Canis lupus familiaris: one gene and its partner. The protein of the gene in region 1 binds, or shares a complex with, the protein of each later gene. Links are inferred from orthologs where the notes say so. Each region holds a gene or a part of one and is shown on either strand. Other genes may lie near its edges. The genes, in order: HCN2 and PEX5L.

Evidence for each region.
Region 2: the proteins of HCN2 (region 1) and PEX5L are in contact, whole or in part, in a crystal structure (PDB 4EQF), measured with the Mus musculus proteins. The link is inferred for Canis lupus familiaris from reciprocal best matches to the Homo sapiens genes HCN2 and PEX5L. Residues at the interface, in NP_032252.1 of Mus musculus: Leu859, Ser860, Ser861, Asn862, Leu863; in NP_001156988.1 of Mus musculus: Glu315, Glu317, Val343, Asn347, His426, Asn453, Arg454, Ala457, Thr458, Ala460, Asn461, Tyr472, Arg484, Tyr487, Asn488, Ile491, Ile494, Ile537.

Annotation. Positions count from the first base shown.
Region 1 is NC_049241.1:58,416,190-58,424,758, forward strand, and holds the start of HCN2 (potassium/sodium hyperpolarization-activated cyclic nucleotide-gated channel 2), read right to left. Parts: upstream 5,095-8,569; coding exon 5,006-5,094; intron 3,369-5,005; coding exon 3,247-3,368; intron 2,472-3,246; coding exon 1,901-2,471; intron 1-1,900. Other genes in the region: BSG (basigin), read right to left, coding at 7,611-7,671, 7,812-7,836, 8,212-8,488, 8,561-8,569. UniProt on the Homo sapiens protein: Hyperpolarization-activated ion channel that is permeable to sodium and potassium ions. Displays lower selectivity for K(+) over Na(+) ions. Contributes to the native pacemaker currents in heart (If) and in neurons (Ih).
Region 2 is NC_049255.1:13,528,597-13,537,325, forward strand, and holds the start of PEX5L (PEX5-related protein), read right to left. Parts: upstream 5,088-8,729; 5' UTR 4,886-5,087; coding exon 4,864-4,885; intron 4,151-4,863; exon of another isoform or gene 4,131-4,150; coding exon 3,991-4,130; intron 2,505-3,990; coding exon 2,433-2,504; intron 1-2,432. UniProt on the Homo sapiens protein: Accessory subunit of hyperpolarization-activated cyclic nucleotide-gated (HCN) channels, regulating their cell-surface expression and cyclic nucleotide dependence.

The DNA of each region.
Region 1 (8,569 bases):
AGGCCCAGGTGCCCCCGATCTCTACAACCCCCAGAAGACCTTTCTCCTCCCGGGTCCTCCTGGCCTGGATGGGCCAGAGCTGGGGCCACAGCCAGGACCGGGGGGCCGTCAGCCCAGGCATCAACCCCCCGTTTGCCCCTGACGAGTTGTGTGACTTTGGGCAAGCAGCTGTACGTCCGTGCTCCCTTCCTGTGACCAGCGGCCGCATCCACCTCGCGGCCCACACGGGACCTGAATCCGTATGAGTAAGGTGTCCCCGCAGCACCTGACCCAGGAGGACCTCAGGAGGCTTGCGGTTTGGGATTGGAGGGGCCGACGATCCCAGAACACGGGGTCCGGAGGCCCCGCCGCATCCCAGTGTGGGGGTATCATAAGCGTTCGGTCCGACGGCGTGTCCCCTCGTCCCGACCACAGGACACGCTCACCACGTCTTAGGGTTTATCTGCTCAGCCCGCACCATGTGGACTGCCCGGAGCCTCACAGGTGACCACGCTCAGAAGGGCACGAGGACCAGCAAGCCCCACTCCTCCCGCCCGCCCTCGCCGCCCCCGGTCACCAGGCTGCAAACTGCCCCTCCTGTGGCCCCAGGACGCCGAGGCCACCCACTGCTGGCGGGGGAGGGGCAGCTGCTGCAGGCAGACGTGCTGGAGAAGTCCCGGAGCAATGGCTACTTTCTGCGGCCCCCTCCCCCTGCCCGCTGTGTGCCCGATGTCGCTCCCCGGCCCGCCGGCCAGATCACGGGATCACGAGTGCAGACACCGAGCTCTCCCGCCCGCAGCCCCGCCGTGTGGACCCCCTTCCTCCCCGGGGAACTCAGGCCGCTGGGCAGGCTTCCTCCGCCTCCCGGGGCAGGTCTGCAGGGTGAGGAGCCGGCGTCCACCTCTGTCCCGGGCCTGTGCGCCCCTTGGCGCCTGTTTCCTGAGCTATGAAGCGGGGCCAGGACAGGGGAGCCCCGTCCCCCCTGCGGACGCCGGCTCGGCGGGGCTCGGCGGGCCGCTGTCCGTGGTGCTGAAGCCGCGCGCGCCCGGCTGGACCCTCCGCGCCCGACCGGCCGCGTCCCTCACGGCTCCAAACTTCCCAGGCGGCGCACACCGTGCACACCCCCTGCACACACCGTGCACACCCCCTGCACACCCCCTGCACACAGCTCAGCTCGCCCGGCCGCCCGCACGCAGCCCCTCTCCGGGCACACCTACCACGCGGACACACCCCTAGGGCCCCCGGGTCACTCTGCCCATGGCCCCGGGCCCACGCCCCCTGCAGTCACATGCTCGTGATCACACACACGGCCCGCAGTGACACGCACGCTTCGCACCCGCAGGCCACGGGGCACGCGCCAGGGAGCACGAACCACGGACATCCTCGGCCTGACCCTGGGCCGGGCCGGCTCTGAGCCTTTCCACGCATCCGCCGCCTTGATCCACACCGACGTCTACACACCCACTGACACGCGGACACGCCGCCCCGCGGCCCCGGCCGGGACCCTGCAGGCGCCTCCCTGGGGCGCGCGGCGCGGGCGGAGCCGCTGGACGAGGGCCCCGCGCCCTTCACCCCGCGCCGCCGGCCTCTCCGGGACGCGTCCTTCCCGAGCGCCCTTCCTTCCGCCTTCCTTCCGCGCCGCCGCCTCCCGGCGCCCACGTTCCCCTCTATTCGTCCTCCCGGCCCGGCCGCGCTCAGACCCCGGCCCGCGGGCGCGGGAGGGCGGTGCGTGGGAGGGGGCGCGCCGGGGGCTCGGCCGGGCCTGCGCGCTTCCCGCGCCCCTCCGAGGGCGGGGCCTCGCGGGGCGGGTCCCGGGCGCGCCGGGGGTCGGCGAGGGGCCCGAGGTCACCCCCGGGGCGCGCGGCCCCGCCCTCCCGCCGCGCGTCCGTCCCCGAGCCCCGGCGCCGCGGCCGCGCGGTACCTGAAGTCGCTGTACGGGTGGATGATCCAGGCCCCCGCCGACTTGACGCGCTCCTGCTCGCGCTCCACGGCCTTCTGGCTGCCGAACATCCGCAGCGAGAACTTGTTGACGCCCGGCTGCAGGAGCGCGCCGAACTGGCGCTGCATGAAGCTGGCCTGGCTGCCGCGCGGCTCCCCCGCCGGGCCCGCCTCCTCGCTGCCCGCCTCGTCCGCCGGCCCCGGCCCCGGCCCCGGCCCCGGCCCCGGCCCCGCGGCCCCGCGGCAGGAGAACGACACCTTGGCGCCGCGCGCCGGGCCCTCCGGCCCCGCGGGCTGCACTGCGTCTCGCCTCGCCCCGCACTCGCCGTTCGGGCTGCCCTTGGCCGTGCTCGCCGCGCCCGGGGTGGCCGGCCGCCCGCTCGAGCTGTCGCGGCTGCGGAGCCGGGCCCGCGGGCCGCCCTCGTCCGTCGCCTCCGGCGGAGCCGCCTCGGCCCGGGGCGCCGGCGGCGGGGTGGGGGGCGGGCCGGAAAGTTTCGGGGGGGGGGTTGGAGGCGGGGGCAGGAGGGGCGGGGGGGCGCGGGGGAGCGCCCTGACTGCCCGGGGGGGAGCAGATTCGGACCCCCCGCGCGCCAGGCGAGTCGGAGGGAGGTCAGGAAGTGAGGAGAGGAGCGCCGCCGCGCCCGCCGGCCCGAGCCCGAGGGGGGGATGCGGGGCCGTGGGCAGGGGCGCGAAGCCCGCGGGGGGCGGGCGCGGGGGAGGGGCGGGGCGGGGAGGGGCGGGGGCGGCCCCCTCCGGCCGGAACCCCCTCCCCGCGCGCCGCGCCCGGGCCCCGCGCCGGGGAGGAGGAAACTGAGGGCCGCGGAGGAGGCGGGGACGGCCCAAGGTCGCGCGGCCGGAGGCCCGGGCGACGCGCTCAGACCTCGTCGCAGAAGGGAAACTGAGGCCCGCGGGAGGAAGGACGCGCCCAAGGTCACCGGGCTCGGCCGCGCCTCAGCCACGGCCTCCCCGCGCTGGGGCCGTCCCCGGGGCCGCGCCGGCCTCCCGCCTCCGTGGGCTCGAGAGTTTCCGTAATAAAAGGAGGGTTTTAAAGGTCAGAAGGGCCGGTGCTCTGCGGCGCGAAGGCCCGGGCGGGCGCGGACGCGGGGACGTGCGAGCGCGGGGGTCGCACCGCCACCCCCGCCCCCGCCCCCGCCCCGCCCCCGCCCCCGCCCGCAAGGGAGGAACCGGGGCCACGGGGGGCGCCCCCCGGCGGCGCTGATGCGGCCCCCAAACAGCGCCCTGAGGGTCCGCGGCGGCTCATCTCCCGGGCGCTGGTGGGCTTTCAAACGGGGACGTGCCCAGGGGCCCGGGGCGGCCGCGGACTCGCACCCGAGGGCCCCACTGCCCTGGCCCCGGGGCTCAGGCCCTGCTGGCCACTCGGCCCCGCGCTCTGGGAGGATGCCTGAGGCTCCGTGTCCCGGGCTGGAATCAGGTTGGGGGGCTGTCTGGTGCTAGGGGACACGAGGGCACAGGCCCGGGACCGTCCCTAGCCGCCGGCCCCCATCCCAGCACAGCCAGAGGGGAGGAGGAGGTGTCCCAAGAGGCAAGTAGCGGGCAGAGACACAGGAGCGAGAAGGGACCTGGAGAACCCGGGAAGGAACGTTCCACCTTCATGCCTGCTCCCATGGGTGCATCCACCCGCCAGCGTGTCTCTGCACACAGCAGGTGCCCACGGGTGACAGGGGTGGACAGAGGCCTGGGTCTCCTGTGCTTCTACCCAGCAGGTCAGGCATCCAGGGGCCGCTCCCGCCCGCGGGCCAGACCTGCAGCCGGATGGGTGGGCGGCAGGGCTGCGCGTCCTGAGGCGGCGAGGGGAAGCTGGGCGGGCAGCAGGGTTGGCAGTGCCAGGCTGCAGCCCGCCCCGGGCAGATGTGTGTTCCAGCTGAAGGGGGATCTTTTATGCTCACCCTGGGAGCCTGTCAGTCTGGGCAGGCCGCCAGCGCCCCAGGGCTCCCGCACAGAGCGGGGAGGAGGCGGGCCCACCGAGCCTGGAGTGGGAGAGGCGGGCCTGGACTGGGAGTCACCTTGGGGGGGGTCTCAGCCCCTCCCTGGGCCCTGGGGACCCGGCCCCCAAGTCCTGACGACTCCTCCCCGTCCCACAGGCTCCATCCTGGACAGCCACCAGCCCCCCGGTCTCTCCCACCCCCTCTCCACACTCGGCCAGGGCGCAATGCCCTGCATTCGTTCAACAAACATTTATTCAGCACCAGTGGGCTGGGACCTGGGCCACGGGCACCCTGCTGCGAGGTGGGCGGAAGGACACTCACCATAGTAAACCTTACATTTAATAGATACGACAAATCCCTTGGAAGGTGGTTAAGCGCTACACAACTCAGAGCCAGAGAGGGAAGACAAAGGTGCTGGGGCTGAGGTCCCGAGGCCTCCCCGGGGGGAAGGTGATGTCTGAAGGGAGGGCTGGTGTCACGTGGACATTTGTGGGAAGAGCGTCTGGCAGGTGGCAAAGGCCCTGAGGCAGGAGGGTGACTGGCTTGTGGGACAACAAAGGCTGTTGAGGCTCCCGGGGTGGGTGGACGCTCAGACAGCGGAGGGTGCACGGCTGTGAGACCCCGAGTTCACAACAGTCTGCGGCCTGAAGCTGCCTTTGCTAAGAAGCCCCGATCCCATCAGCTGAGCATTACTGGGCCCCAGCACGGGCTCTGAGGGCACCTCCCGACCAACCCTGCGTCCTCTCTAGTCGGGGCAAGTCCAGGTGCAAAGGCCCGAGGCCCCGAGCTTGGGGACCCTCTGAGCATCAGGGGCCACCAGGAGAGCCCACCGCGGCTCAGGGACATGCTGTGTGATCAGCTGGCGGCAGGACCCCTGGCTTCAGTCTGGGAGCCACCCGCGCCAGCACCTTGCCCAGGGCGGCCAGTGACGGCAGGCGGGGCATCCCACCACCCGGTTCCCAGTGTCACACGGCCCAGCTGGGGTCCCCGGGTCAGCCAACCGCAGATTCACCGGGACTCTCCTTTCCCTACAGAAACCGCACTCCCCAGCAAGTGGGAGGGCCAAACTGATGACCCCAACACCTCTGTCCCATCTTCTCTGCTGCCGGGTGAGGCCCCCAAATCGCTCCTTTGCTGCTGACCTGAGAGCCCTTGGGGGCCCCCACTGCAAGGGGCAGGGGTCTGGGACAAGTGTCCCCGTCTGTGGGCCCAGGGACGCCGCGGGGCACATCGCTCGTGCCCTGCTCCTCTGCCCCCCGATCCTGTGCTGTCTCCATCCCACTGTGGGGGAACTGAGGCTGAGCCGGATGGATGGAGGCTTCAGGGCTCGGAGGGCGACCTCGTGGGGGCATCTCCACGGGTCAGGAGGCTGAGCCTCAGCCGCCTCGCCTCAACCCCCCACAGGTCCTGCTCCAGGAAACCCCTCTGGGACCCAAGGCTCTGCCCCCCCGCACTGGGCCCCGGGGCCCTGGCTTCCCAGAGGACACCCCCAGGAACCCCCGACTTCGGGGGAGCTTGGAGGTTGCCCCTGAGCCCTGGCAGCACCCCCAGGGATGGGCCAGCTCATCAGGGCCCCCCGACCGCTGCCCGTCCACCAAGGACCCCAACCCCAGCTGTGCCGGGGCTGCTCAGTCAACGTCGCAGAGGGACCAGGAGGAAGGCGCATCCTCCACCCCCCGGTGTGCGCGGCTCGTGCCCCAGGGCGCCCTAGGGCTTAGGGAGGCTGGCCCAGGCCTGTCCAGCAGGGGGCAGCGGGGTCTACAGGGCCAGGCGGGTGCAACCCCAGAGGCCTTCTGTAAACGAGGGGCTCCCGTGGCCTCCAAACCCTGCTCAGTGGCAGGCGCGTAGCTCCCTCTGACGGCCAGCGGGAAGGGCCAGGCCCACAGCCCCCCAGGCCAAGGTGTGGGGCCCCATAAAGGACCCTGTTCCGGCCACAGAAGCCCAGGGGAACCACCTGCCGTTGCCTGGAGGCCCAAGCATGTGGCCAGCCGGGCGGACACGCTAGGCGGCCCGGGGCCTGAGAAAGCCACCCCCGGGGGCCGGGCCTCCCACCCGTGGCTCGTGGGCCGACCCCCTCTTCACACTGTTGTGCGGGATCTAACTTGCCAGCCTTGAAAAGGACCAATCTCCCCCCGAACCCTGATTTCTGGCCGCTCTGGGACCTCAGCTCTGGCCGGGCCAGAGGCCTGTGCCCAGGTCCACAGGGGAGGCGCTGGGTCAGCTCAGGCCCTAGGTGGGCAGCGGGGTCCCCTTCTCTGAGAAGCTTCCCCTCTGGCACCAGGCGGGGGCCTCAGTGGCAAGGCCCTGCCTCCTCCTGTTCCCAGAGCACCACCCAGCACCACCCAGTGTCCAGACTGTCCTTTCCCCCAGGAGTCAGGCTGGGCTCAGCCGAACAGGGACCCCTCGTCCTGGGGGCCAGTCTCAGAAGGGCCACCTCTGTCACCACGGGTGGCACTGCCCGTCCAGGCTGGGCCCACTAGTGGGGTCCTGGACACCCCCCGCTCCCCAGACACCACTCACACCACAGGGAACCTCTGGCCTGGGGCAGGCAGGTGCCAGGCAGCTGTGGGTCTGGGTCTGGGTCTGGTCCTGTCCGGGGGGACCCACCGGAAGGAGTCCCGGGCCCCGTGGACGTAGGAACCTAGCTCACACCCGCCACGGGGCCAAGTCCTTCTCTGAACACGCCCATGGCCCCCATGGTCCTCTGCCCCCCACATCCCATCCCTACCCTTAGCCTTCATCCTGGGAACAAAGCTCCTGGCCAGCCGGTCAGCCCCTCCCATGCACCCCAACTGCACCCCAGGACTCAGCACCAGGGGCACTCCCACCCCCACAAGCTCTCCAGAAGACGCAGGCGGTGTGCACAGGAGCCCGAGAACGAGACGGGTCAGGCTTTCTTTATTGGTGAGCAGGCAGGTGGCGGGCGAGTCGGGAGCTGGGGAGCAGCTGGGGAATAGCTGGGAGGGGGTCCTGCAGCTGCCATAACAGCAGACCCGCAGCACCGGTGGCCAGGCAACTCCCCTGCAACCGGGTGGATGGCAGGAGCGGGGAGGGACGGGGAGGGACGGGGAGGGGCGGGCGGGGCCCGCCAGCAGCCACGTGGTCAGAGCCGTCCCACGCACAACACAGACCCGAGGCAACCCGCCAGCCAGGACTTGGGCAGGCAGGATGCTTGCACCTGCACCGTGCACGGCCTGTGACCCTGCACAGGGGTCCCAACAAGGCCCAGCAGCCCCAGGAGGTAGAGCCCCAGAGATGGGCCAGTCCGTCCTCCACGACCCCCACGAGGGGAGAGGAGGCTAGATGCCCAAGGGACGCCGAAGGACGGGTGGCTGGGCCCGGAGGGGCGGGCGGGAGGGCGGTGGGGGGCCGGCGAGGGGACAGCGGGCAGGGGTGGCCGAGCAGACGAGGGGAGGACAGGAGTCTCGCAGGAAGCTCACGGCTCCCCTGAGACGCTCACAAAATGTTTAAAAAGGAAAAACCCCCTAAAGAATGGAATTCTATGTAGAAAACCCTAGTTTAGTTTAAAAAAGGAAAGAAAAGTGTGATCTGACCCACGGTGTGTGGTCTGCTTTCGTGGGGCGGGTCTCCTGTGAGAGGAAAGAACGTGGAATCTGCAGACACCAGCCGCTGAGCTGCTCGCGGCTGCTCCAGGCGGAGGCGGGAGGCCTGTGCAGGGCGAGACGGAGGCTCAGACCCCAGCCCGAGGCCCGGGGCCCCCACCCCCTGCACCCTCCACGCCTCACCTCAGTTGGCGTTCCGCTGGCGAACGTTCTTGCCTTTGTCGTTGACGTGCCCACTGCTCTTCCTGGGGAGAGGAAGGACGGCTCCCGAAGCTCAGGAGGGCAGGACGGCGGCCCCAGCCCCACCACGTGCCCACTGGAGGGCCAGCAGCCCCGCTAGCCCTGCCCAGGGGAGCCCGCCCGCCCGCCCGAGGCCACGACTTACAGAGGAGCAGAGCCCGTGTCCTCGTCTGTGTGGATGCGCAGCCACATGCAAGAAGAGGACAGGCCGTGAGGAGTGGTCCCCGGACAAGGCCCCTAGCAGGGTGACACGGGTCCTACAGGCCCCGCCCTCAGTGTCCCTTACTGTAAATCCAGGGGCCAGCCCTGCCCCCAGGACATGCACCCTCCAAATGAGCTGTCGGGGTCACGGCCCTCAGGCGCCAAGCCACTGCCACAGGCCTGGGCAGAGCAGCGGAGGGCACAGTGGGGCAGATGAGGCCTCAGGCCAGCAGCCCCCAGCTGGGGACCCTCAACCCCGCAGCACCCTCGTCTCCCGCGCTCCTGGACGGTGGCCCAGCCTCCCCCCAACAACCAAACAGCGCGTGAAGGGCGTGTGAGCTCACCATCCAGGACCTCATCCGGCTTCCGCCGCTTCTCATAGATGAAGATGACGGTGACCAGCACCAGGACTTCGGCCACGATGCCCAGGAAGGGCCAGAGGGCGGCGAAGCGGTTTCGCACGCGCAGCACGATGACGGCCTGGCTGGTGCCCTCTGAGTTCGTGCCGTTGCACACGTACTTGCCAGGATCGGTCTCCAAGTCCAGGTTGCTGATGCGCAGCTCCGTCTTTGTCTCCGAGGACACGACCAGGAACTTGCTCTGGGAGCTGTTGCTGATGACCTAGGGGCAGGCGGACCTTGTAGGGGCTGAGGCCAGCCTCACCCACCCGCCCCTGGCAGGCGCGGGTCTCACCTGGTCCCC
Region 2 (8,729 bases), on another chromosome or scaffold:
GCTTATCTAGGCAAAATTGTGAATTTTCTGTGGAAGTACAAGTCTCACAAATCACACGACTTGATAAAACGGCATATAGCTTGCACAGCATTTGTAGAGTGACAGCTTCTGAATGACAGATTTAATGAGATTAGTAGACTTCTGACCAGCACAGCACTCCAACTATTTTATTTATCTTCTCTAGATTTTCTTTCGGCAGCACTTACTGAAAAAGCTATTTACAATTATATGAAGATTGACTAACATATCTACCATGTTTCTAAAAAGATATAGAAAGAATAAACTGAACATAAAGATTCCTCCCCAAATACGTAATATCTATGAAAGGAAGCCATATTAAACAAAAACATATACACTTTGAATGATGATCTCTTAAGTGTAGAAAGAATTTTTTGTAGTATCATCAGGACTAATTAGTGTGTTTTTCTAAACATCTTACTTCGAGGTATCAGCATTGTCATTGTTTCAACCCAGGATTTGCTCACATCACCACCAAGTAAACCTTCCCCCAAAGGAAGGACTAGTCTTACTGCCAACAGCAAACATGAAAGCCAACTCATATTCATAATGACTTGTCTTTTAAAACGTGTTTTGACATGAATGACTCAGCAAAGCTGGGTCACTGCCAACTGGTGCCAACTGGTACAGTGGCACTGGGGAAACGTAATTAACTATAGAGGCAAACGATGACTGGGCAAGTCAAATCCTCCCTCCTTTGAGCCAGGTAAGAAAAGCATTATTTTCTGAAACAGAAGGAAAGTTGGTTCTCTTAACAGTTAATAAAATGCATTTAAAGACAACAACATAAATGCTGTGAAAGCTACCATGAGAAAGAAAAAAAAAACAAAACAATGACTCCTTTGGGCTTTTCATTCCAAAGAGCTCAATGTATACTTTTATGGTTTTCTGAATCCCCAAAGTTAGTTAAAACAAACAAACAAACAAACAAACAAAAAGCTTTAGGGGGAAAAAAGCAGCCCTTGTGGGTAGGATGATACTAAGAAAGTACTACAAAGAGTAAACATTTAACGTCTACATGATTAAGGAAGAAATTTTAAAAATCTTTACTTTTCATTTTAATAGATAAATGGATAGGTATGTGTATTCCCATAATATACTCAATTGTATTTTACAGGTTCATTCACCGGATGGGTCCTGTCCTTCACTGAGAATGCCAGTAGATCTAGGTATAGGCTCTGTGAGAGATGGAGATCATGTGCCCCAAGTAATTAATCTGGCATACAGGTCCAAATTCCTCACTTACCAATTTACTCAGGAGCAGGAGAGTGAAGATAAGGCAAGAAAAAAAGAATTCAAAGGCAGTTTGAGAGAATACTATAAGATCATCCCATTCTGCACCTCTGGGGTGATGCTTTGTTTGATGAGTTTCCCCCCCCCCCCCAGAAGACTACTTCAGTTACCTCAGTTATTCAGACTTAGGAAGCAAGTCTCCAACTCAGCTACTTCTGATTGCTCTCTTCTGATGGTCATTTTTTGTTTTTTCAGAAATATACACAATGGCTCCTTTAATGCAATTGTCATGATGCAAAACAAACTGCACGATTAGGACATTGTCTAAATTCAACTTGTCTTTCTGTAACTTGCTGACTGTTTTCTTTCTAACCTCTTTATCTACGCAGACTCCTTTGAATTATTTCTCAGTCTCCATCTGAGCTTACATCATCTTCAGAATCAGTGCCACTTACACATTAAATAGATGTGCAGTTATCCTGTCTCCTTGATAATTAACAAAGACGTTAAGGGCCAATGCCAATTCAGTGGCATTAGCTGGATACTTTCCATTACCTGATATCATTGTTTATGGTCTATTAAGCAGTTTTCATTTCACCTTATGGGCCCATATAAAATCCAAGCTAGATGCTTCTCAAATTACAGGCAGTATTGAAGAACATTAAGTAGCTTCTTCTTTTTATATTTTTAAAATAATGTCTACATTTACTGCAGATATTCTGATAAAGTAAATTGGGCATATATGTTTTCAGTTTCTCAGTTTTTTTAGTCTTTTACTCCCTTCCCCTTAAAGTATACTCATTGTTTTACACTAATGTTAGCTTTCTCACTTTCCAAATAACATACTGATTCTTGTTTACATTTTTTTCCCCAACCAAATTATCATTGTTGTATTGATTCAGTTTTTACCAGGGCATGTGATTTCCCAAAAGTTCTCTTATCTTGTTCTGCTTTATTTTCATTGTTCCTACACACAGAACATGCATGTTGACATCATGCAGAAGTCGGTGGATCAGAGGGATCATATAGAGAGGCTTAGCAGCTCTCAAAATCTATCTTGTTATGCAGACCTCTGCCTGACAGGCTAATACAGCCACCAAGGCAGGCTGAACAGTCAAAGGGCTTCAGTTGTCAAAGATCTACAGTACAACAGTAGAAAATGTATGTAAGCATTCACTTACCTGCTTTTGATCAACAATTATTTCGAGGTCTTCATCACTGCTTAGTTTTCCATATCCTTTTTCTTTACTTTTCTTGTGAAAGAATAATTTTAAATGATCATTTAGTTTCTTTCCATTAATAAGGTTAACTCCCACTTAATAATTTTTAAAGATAAAAGTTTTAGCCTTGTTCACTAGTCATAATACATCATTCTTTACGTCAGTCTCTCATGGACAACAGCAAATGTTTTGTTGTTAAACTGCAGGCTTATAATTAACTCATCAAGTATTTCTCCTTAGCCTCTCTCATTCAAATTATACCTTTAATCCTTTTCTGAATATTGCTATGCCTTTTTCAATTTTGTAATTTCAAAACACATTCTTTAAAATTTTGAGATAGATATACAATTCCCTTAAGAGTCCGAGCCCATTTTTCTTAAGGACTGAAATTGCATTTAGTAATTATGGTCTGCTTTAAGATATCAACTATTAAATGTTTATTTTAATATCTTTTATATCTTAAAGAATAAGACAAGCATTATACAACTCAGATAACGAGTCTTCAGATTTTCAGCATTTGCTTATAAATCTGATGAAAACTAACACTGGAAAAACCAACTCAAATAATTTTTAAAAGATGAGTAAAATAATTTTCAAACTTGGGTAGTTTGAAAAGTTGAAAGAATACAGACCATTTTTTAAAAATGCACTTTATTGGCATTTTGTCTTTTTCCCCCATGACCAATCTCCATCTACCTTCCCCACAGCAAAAGTTGTAAAGTTAGAAAAGGTCATAGATCATTTTAACCATTTCAGTGTTGTGCTATAGGAGAAAGATAATACGTCTGAGTCTTTTTTTTTTCTTTCTCCCAATACACTGGCTGATAGCAATACCAGAAATGATAGATTCCTTCTTCATGATTTCAGAAATCATAGTACCTCTGTAGAGGACCAGTAAGAAAGGGAAAATAAAATTCACTACATAGTTAGCTATGATCCAAGATTATTATTTTAAAAAGAAAAAACAAGAAACAATGCTTGCTTTAATTCCATCAATCAGAATTAAGGGAACTAAAAATATTTATTTGCATCTATTGTGCCATATTAGGATCCCCATCTCATTAAGGGTAGAACTATATCCTTCAGCAAAGATGATGTAAATCTTCTTTAACCTATGGGACACAATTCTTATGTTTTCTTTCCCTTCCTTCCTAAGAAATATACCTCCTATTTTTGTGGGGTTTTTTTCCTGTAATAAAGAGATTTCTGAATCTTCAAGTATTAGGATGCACAAATAAAATCTGAATTCTCATTCATATATTAATGAATTTAGCCACTTAGAATAGAACAGATGGCCACAGTATTTCTATCCATTATTCTTCTTCTCCTCATTTGAGGTTCCATTTCGCGATTGATGGAAAACAAAAAGAATGGGGTTGGTTTCAATCAAGCTGACTTCCTCCCTATTACTTTGTTTTTGTATCCTCTTAGTCTACTGGTTGCCATGAGATATTGTCCAGAGACCCCCTAACACAAAACATTTAAAAATGTCTTTCCGAATATTGATCTGTATACGTACCAAGTAGCTCATTTGCATGACCCGATTTCTGGACAAAAGGACATTAAGTAGAGATGGAATGTGGGTCCTTCCATCCATTTCACTGTCAGACATCCCAGAATTCTTTGCACCAGTGGCAGTGGTTTCATTGCCAGAACTTGCTGACCAAAGAACCACAGATCTTGCCCAGCAAGAGTATTTATAATGTATGACAATAATCAAAGTATCCCTGAATCATAGTCTCGACTTTGTAAACATTGTGAAATTTTTGGCTAGCACAAAAAAATCATTGAAACTAAAATTTCTTCCTTTCTAACTAATTTTTATCCTAGCACTTCTAGGTTCCCCAACTACTGTTCTAGTTAATGCTTTTTAAAACACTCCATCTATTATTAATTATATACATTTTTATATTTCATCCTACGCATATAGACTATTCAGCCTCTTTATCATAAAAGCTCTCAATTTTTCCCTTTTAATGCCTCACCCCAGAATTTCTTGTGATGAGCAAATCACTGCTAAATGATATAACAATGTCGGCATTCACCAAACATAATTCAAGACTGCAATTCGACCACCACCAAATCCCACCTCTCCAATTTAATCCCAACTCCTTATCTGAGTTAGGAGTATATTTTAATGGGAAGAGGCTAGGTCAGGGAAGAAGATTATATCCACAACTCTAAGTAGAAGTTGGCATTTTCCAAGAGTGGGAGGAGGCATTTAGAGCTCTGATTTTGTATTTAAGCCCCAGTCTCCAAGCAGCACCCAACTGTACACAGAGTCAGAAGCCTTACAATTTTACTCTAGAATTAAGCGATATTTTCTAGCTCACCCCATAGCCCCAGGGGGATTAATCCTTTTCTAAACCATAATGGTTATTCGCTCACTTACTGCTTATTTCTAGTGCGAGCATAATCCTCTTTCAAGCACTCAGCTTCCCACTTTGACTGCTTAGATCAGCCAGCCCAGGCAGGGATCTTCAGCTCTCCTCCCTCCTCCCAGCCAGGAATCCCTGTCTTCTATCTATGCACTTTTGTCAAGCACAAAAAGCAACTCCATAGCTTCTGCGTGGTCTTTCACTTTAGGCAAAGGACTGAACCAGAAGGAGAAAGAAAGCTAACCTCTTCACTGTCCAAGCGTTAAGGAGGCAGGGCTTCTGTGGGAGGAGAAGCCAGAGGGTAGTCACTTCCTGTGCCCCTCCCACCTCCCCTGGCACACACTGGAGCTGAGGATTTCAACTGAGGCAGTAAGGTCGGGCCCTCTCCACCTCAGCCTTAGCAAGCTGTCTGCTGCGGGTCGATTCTGGGCACTGCTCACCTATGTGCAGCTGAGAAGAGAGCATCAGTGTAGCGGAGTTAAAATGGTGAGGACTTGAAGGTGGGAGATGTGAGGAAAGAAAGAAAGAAAACAGTCATTTCGCCAAAAATGCCTCACTCTTTACAAGAAGCTTTCAGCTCAGAAGTGTCCAATGTCAACCCCCAAATGCAGCATCTCCCATCTTCCCCACACCATTCTGAATCCTTTCTGAGTAACTGCAAAGAAAACTATTTAGTTATTTCTTAGTGCTTTTAAAATACCATTGATTCAGATCTATAGTTTTCTTTAGAATATTGAGTCTAAGTGGTAACCTTTCCTCTCTGCAGACATTCCACCATCTCTCCTTAACCTTATTTCCTTCCTGCCTCCCACCCCTTCATTCTCTCCTCCACAAAAATAGAACAGAGAGATGGGCTTACTCACTTGAATTAAGTAAACCATAAAACTTAGAAGCTGTATAGGAAAAACAATACATGACCACAGATTGAGAATGCACTATGTAAGAAAATTTTGCAAATAAGTAACAACAAAACAAGACAGAACAACAAAATCTGATGGGATAGGGACCTGAAAAATGAAGCTCCCTATGTTCATTTTAGAATAGGAGCTTAAAAAGAGTTTTAACTGAAAGACACTAGTTGTATATGGGTCAAATTAAAAGGATTCTTCATATTTAGGAGTGGAATAGATGAAGGAGATTTTAAAAAGGTTAAGAAACACATTATTTAGTTAATTGCATGAATTAGTTTCAACTGCAATTTTTGCCTGACAACAGAATAATAATGCAAATAAATATAAAGGTTAAAGATTACATATAAAAATTCAAACTGGCATAACCACTGTGGAAAACAGTATGGAGTTCCTCAAAAAGTTAAAATTAGAGCTACCCTATGATCCAGCAATAACACTACTGGGTATTTACCCAAAAGATCTAAAAATACTGATTCAAAGGGATACATGCACCCTGATGTTTATAGTAGCATTATCAAGAATAGCTAAATTATGGAAAGAAACCAAATTTCTATCAACTGATGAATGGATAACAGATGTGATATATGTATATACATTTATGTATGTATATATATATACACATATAGACATATAGATATACACATATGGACATATATATATATGTAGTGGAATATTATCCATCCATAAAACGAAGGAAATCTTGCCATTTGCAACCATGTGGATGGAGCTAGACAGAAATTTGCTAAGCAAAGTAAGTCAGAGAAAGACAAATACCGTATTATTTCACTCATATGTGGGATTTAAGAAACAAAACAAATGAGCATGGGGGGAAAAAAGAGAGAGAGAGGCAAACAAAACTAGAGAAAACAAACTGACAGTTACCAGAGGGGAAGGATAGCAGGGGGATGGGTTAAATAGATGATGAGGATTAAGGAGCGCACCTGTGATAAGTACCAGGTGTTGTACAGACGTGCTGAATCACTAAATTGTACACCTGAAACTAACATTATTACACTGTATGTTAATTAACTGGAATTTAAATAAAAACTTTAAAAATTCAATACAAATATTTTTAAAATATTTTTTTACTATTATTTATTTAATGATAAATAGTACACCTGAATTTAGGAAAGCAAATGTTACATGAAAAATATATAACAGAGACAAAAGAAACAAAGATCTCCCTACTCTCTTTTTTGTGGTTGTCAGTGTTCAATTCCTATCTTCCTATCTTCCCTGTCTTCCATCCCTTCTTCTCCACCTTCTTCCCACAGCCTGCCAATTGCTCAGTTTCCATTCTTCTAAAAGATTACTTCCTCACATCTCCTTTTCCCTAAAGGCATTCATTTAATCTCTTATCTCTTCACTGTCAAACTTGAAAGAGTGGTCCACATTCACTAGCAACAGCTCCTTCCTTTCTCTTCACTTTTAAGACAATTACAACCAGGTTGCAATTTACCGTAATTGTATTCACAGTCACCAATGGACTTTGAATTACCAGATTCTCTAGCCATCTGTCTTTAGAGGTAATAGTATGAATTAGCCCTCAGAGCAATTTGTGATTGACTACAGATGTCAAGATGAATGCAAATATTACTTCTTTCAGTGGTCAAGTTTGCATTATTTAAAAAAATGTCTCAGCTGTTATTTACACTATTACAGCTATTAAATGGTGTTGCGACAAACTGAATAGGGGCTCAGTGAGAGGGAGGAGGATTGGGAAAAGAGATGATGTGCTGAAAAGGTATGTGCTGAGTTTGTGATATCATTGGAAAGATTCAGTCGGTCATTCGGGTATATGGGTCTATAGCTCAGAAGAGAGATAAGGGCAGGTCGTATGGATTTCTGGGGATAACTAAAATCACAAGAGTGGATGAGCTCATTAAAAAAGAAAACAGAAGAGATAAGGACTAAGGCCAGAGTCCTGGAGAAAAATTATGTTTAAAGAATGGGCCAAAGAAAAGAACCCAGTGAAGGAGGCCAAATAGGAATGGTTGGACATGTAAGAGGAGAACCAGAAGGATGCAGTCAAAGGCAAAAGAACTCTAGACATTGTCAAATGCTGATGAAAGTTCAAGTAAGGGTGTACCCTGCACACTTCCCTTGTGTTGGGCATCCTGGCAGCCATCAAGGACCTGACTTCCTGGAACCAAAATCAGAATGACTTAGTGGCGACACTGGTAGTAAGGGAGCAAAGAGATGAGAAAGGACTTATTTTTGCTTACACAAGCTTGAATGAAAAGACAAAAAGGGAAAAACATATCAAGACAGTAAATCGTGTGCTAAAGATTCTCCCACAGTTTAAAAAAATAGTGGGAGGGAAGAGGGAATGGAATGACACAAATGAGAGGAGGGAAATACTGGGAAAATTGTAGTTTCCCTCTCCCTTGTATAAAGGTACTGAGTACACTTATAGTTCAAGAGGCGACTAGTGAAGAAAGTAAAACTGTAGATGCCAGAAAATGAGGGGCTAGAAATCATGAGGCAAGAAAGTGAGAACAAAGGCCTTTTGGGGAAAAACTGCATGCTTCTCTTTGGAAATTTACAATGATATGATATACATTTATAGAAGAAAAATCTGTGAGGATACATACCAAATATTGAAAGTCCTTTTCTCTGAGAAATGGAGTTATGCATAATCTATCTGTTCTCTTTATACTTGGGAGTACTCTTTGAAATAAGAATGAATTTCTTTCATAATAAGAAAGTAAGTAAACAAAGTGTGATTGAGAGATTCATAAAATTGCCAAAGACTTTGAAAGTCTACTTTGCAGTAAAACGACTGGGTCAGGGCTTTACCCTTCCTCTATTATGTTTCTAGAGGGATAAAAGCTTGTTTTTTTTAAAAAAAATATGGAGATTCATGCTACAGTTATTGCTTATGTCCCTTGGGGTTAGTGTGGTACTATGGTGAAGTGAATGTTTTGTTTATTGCATTTAATATGCCTCTTTCCTCTTGACTCTCTTTT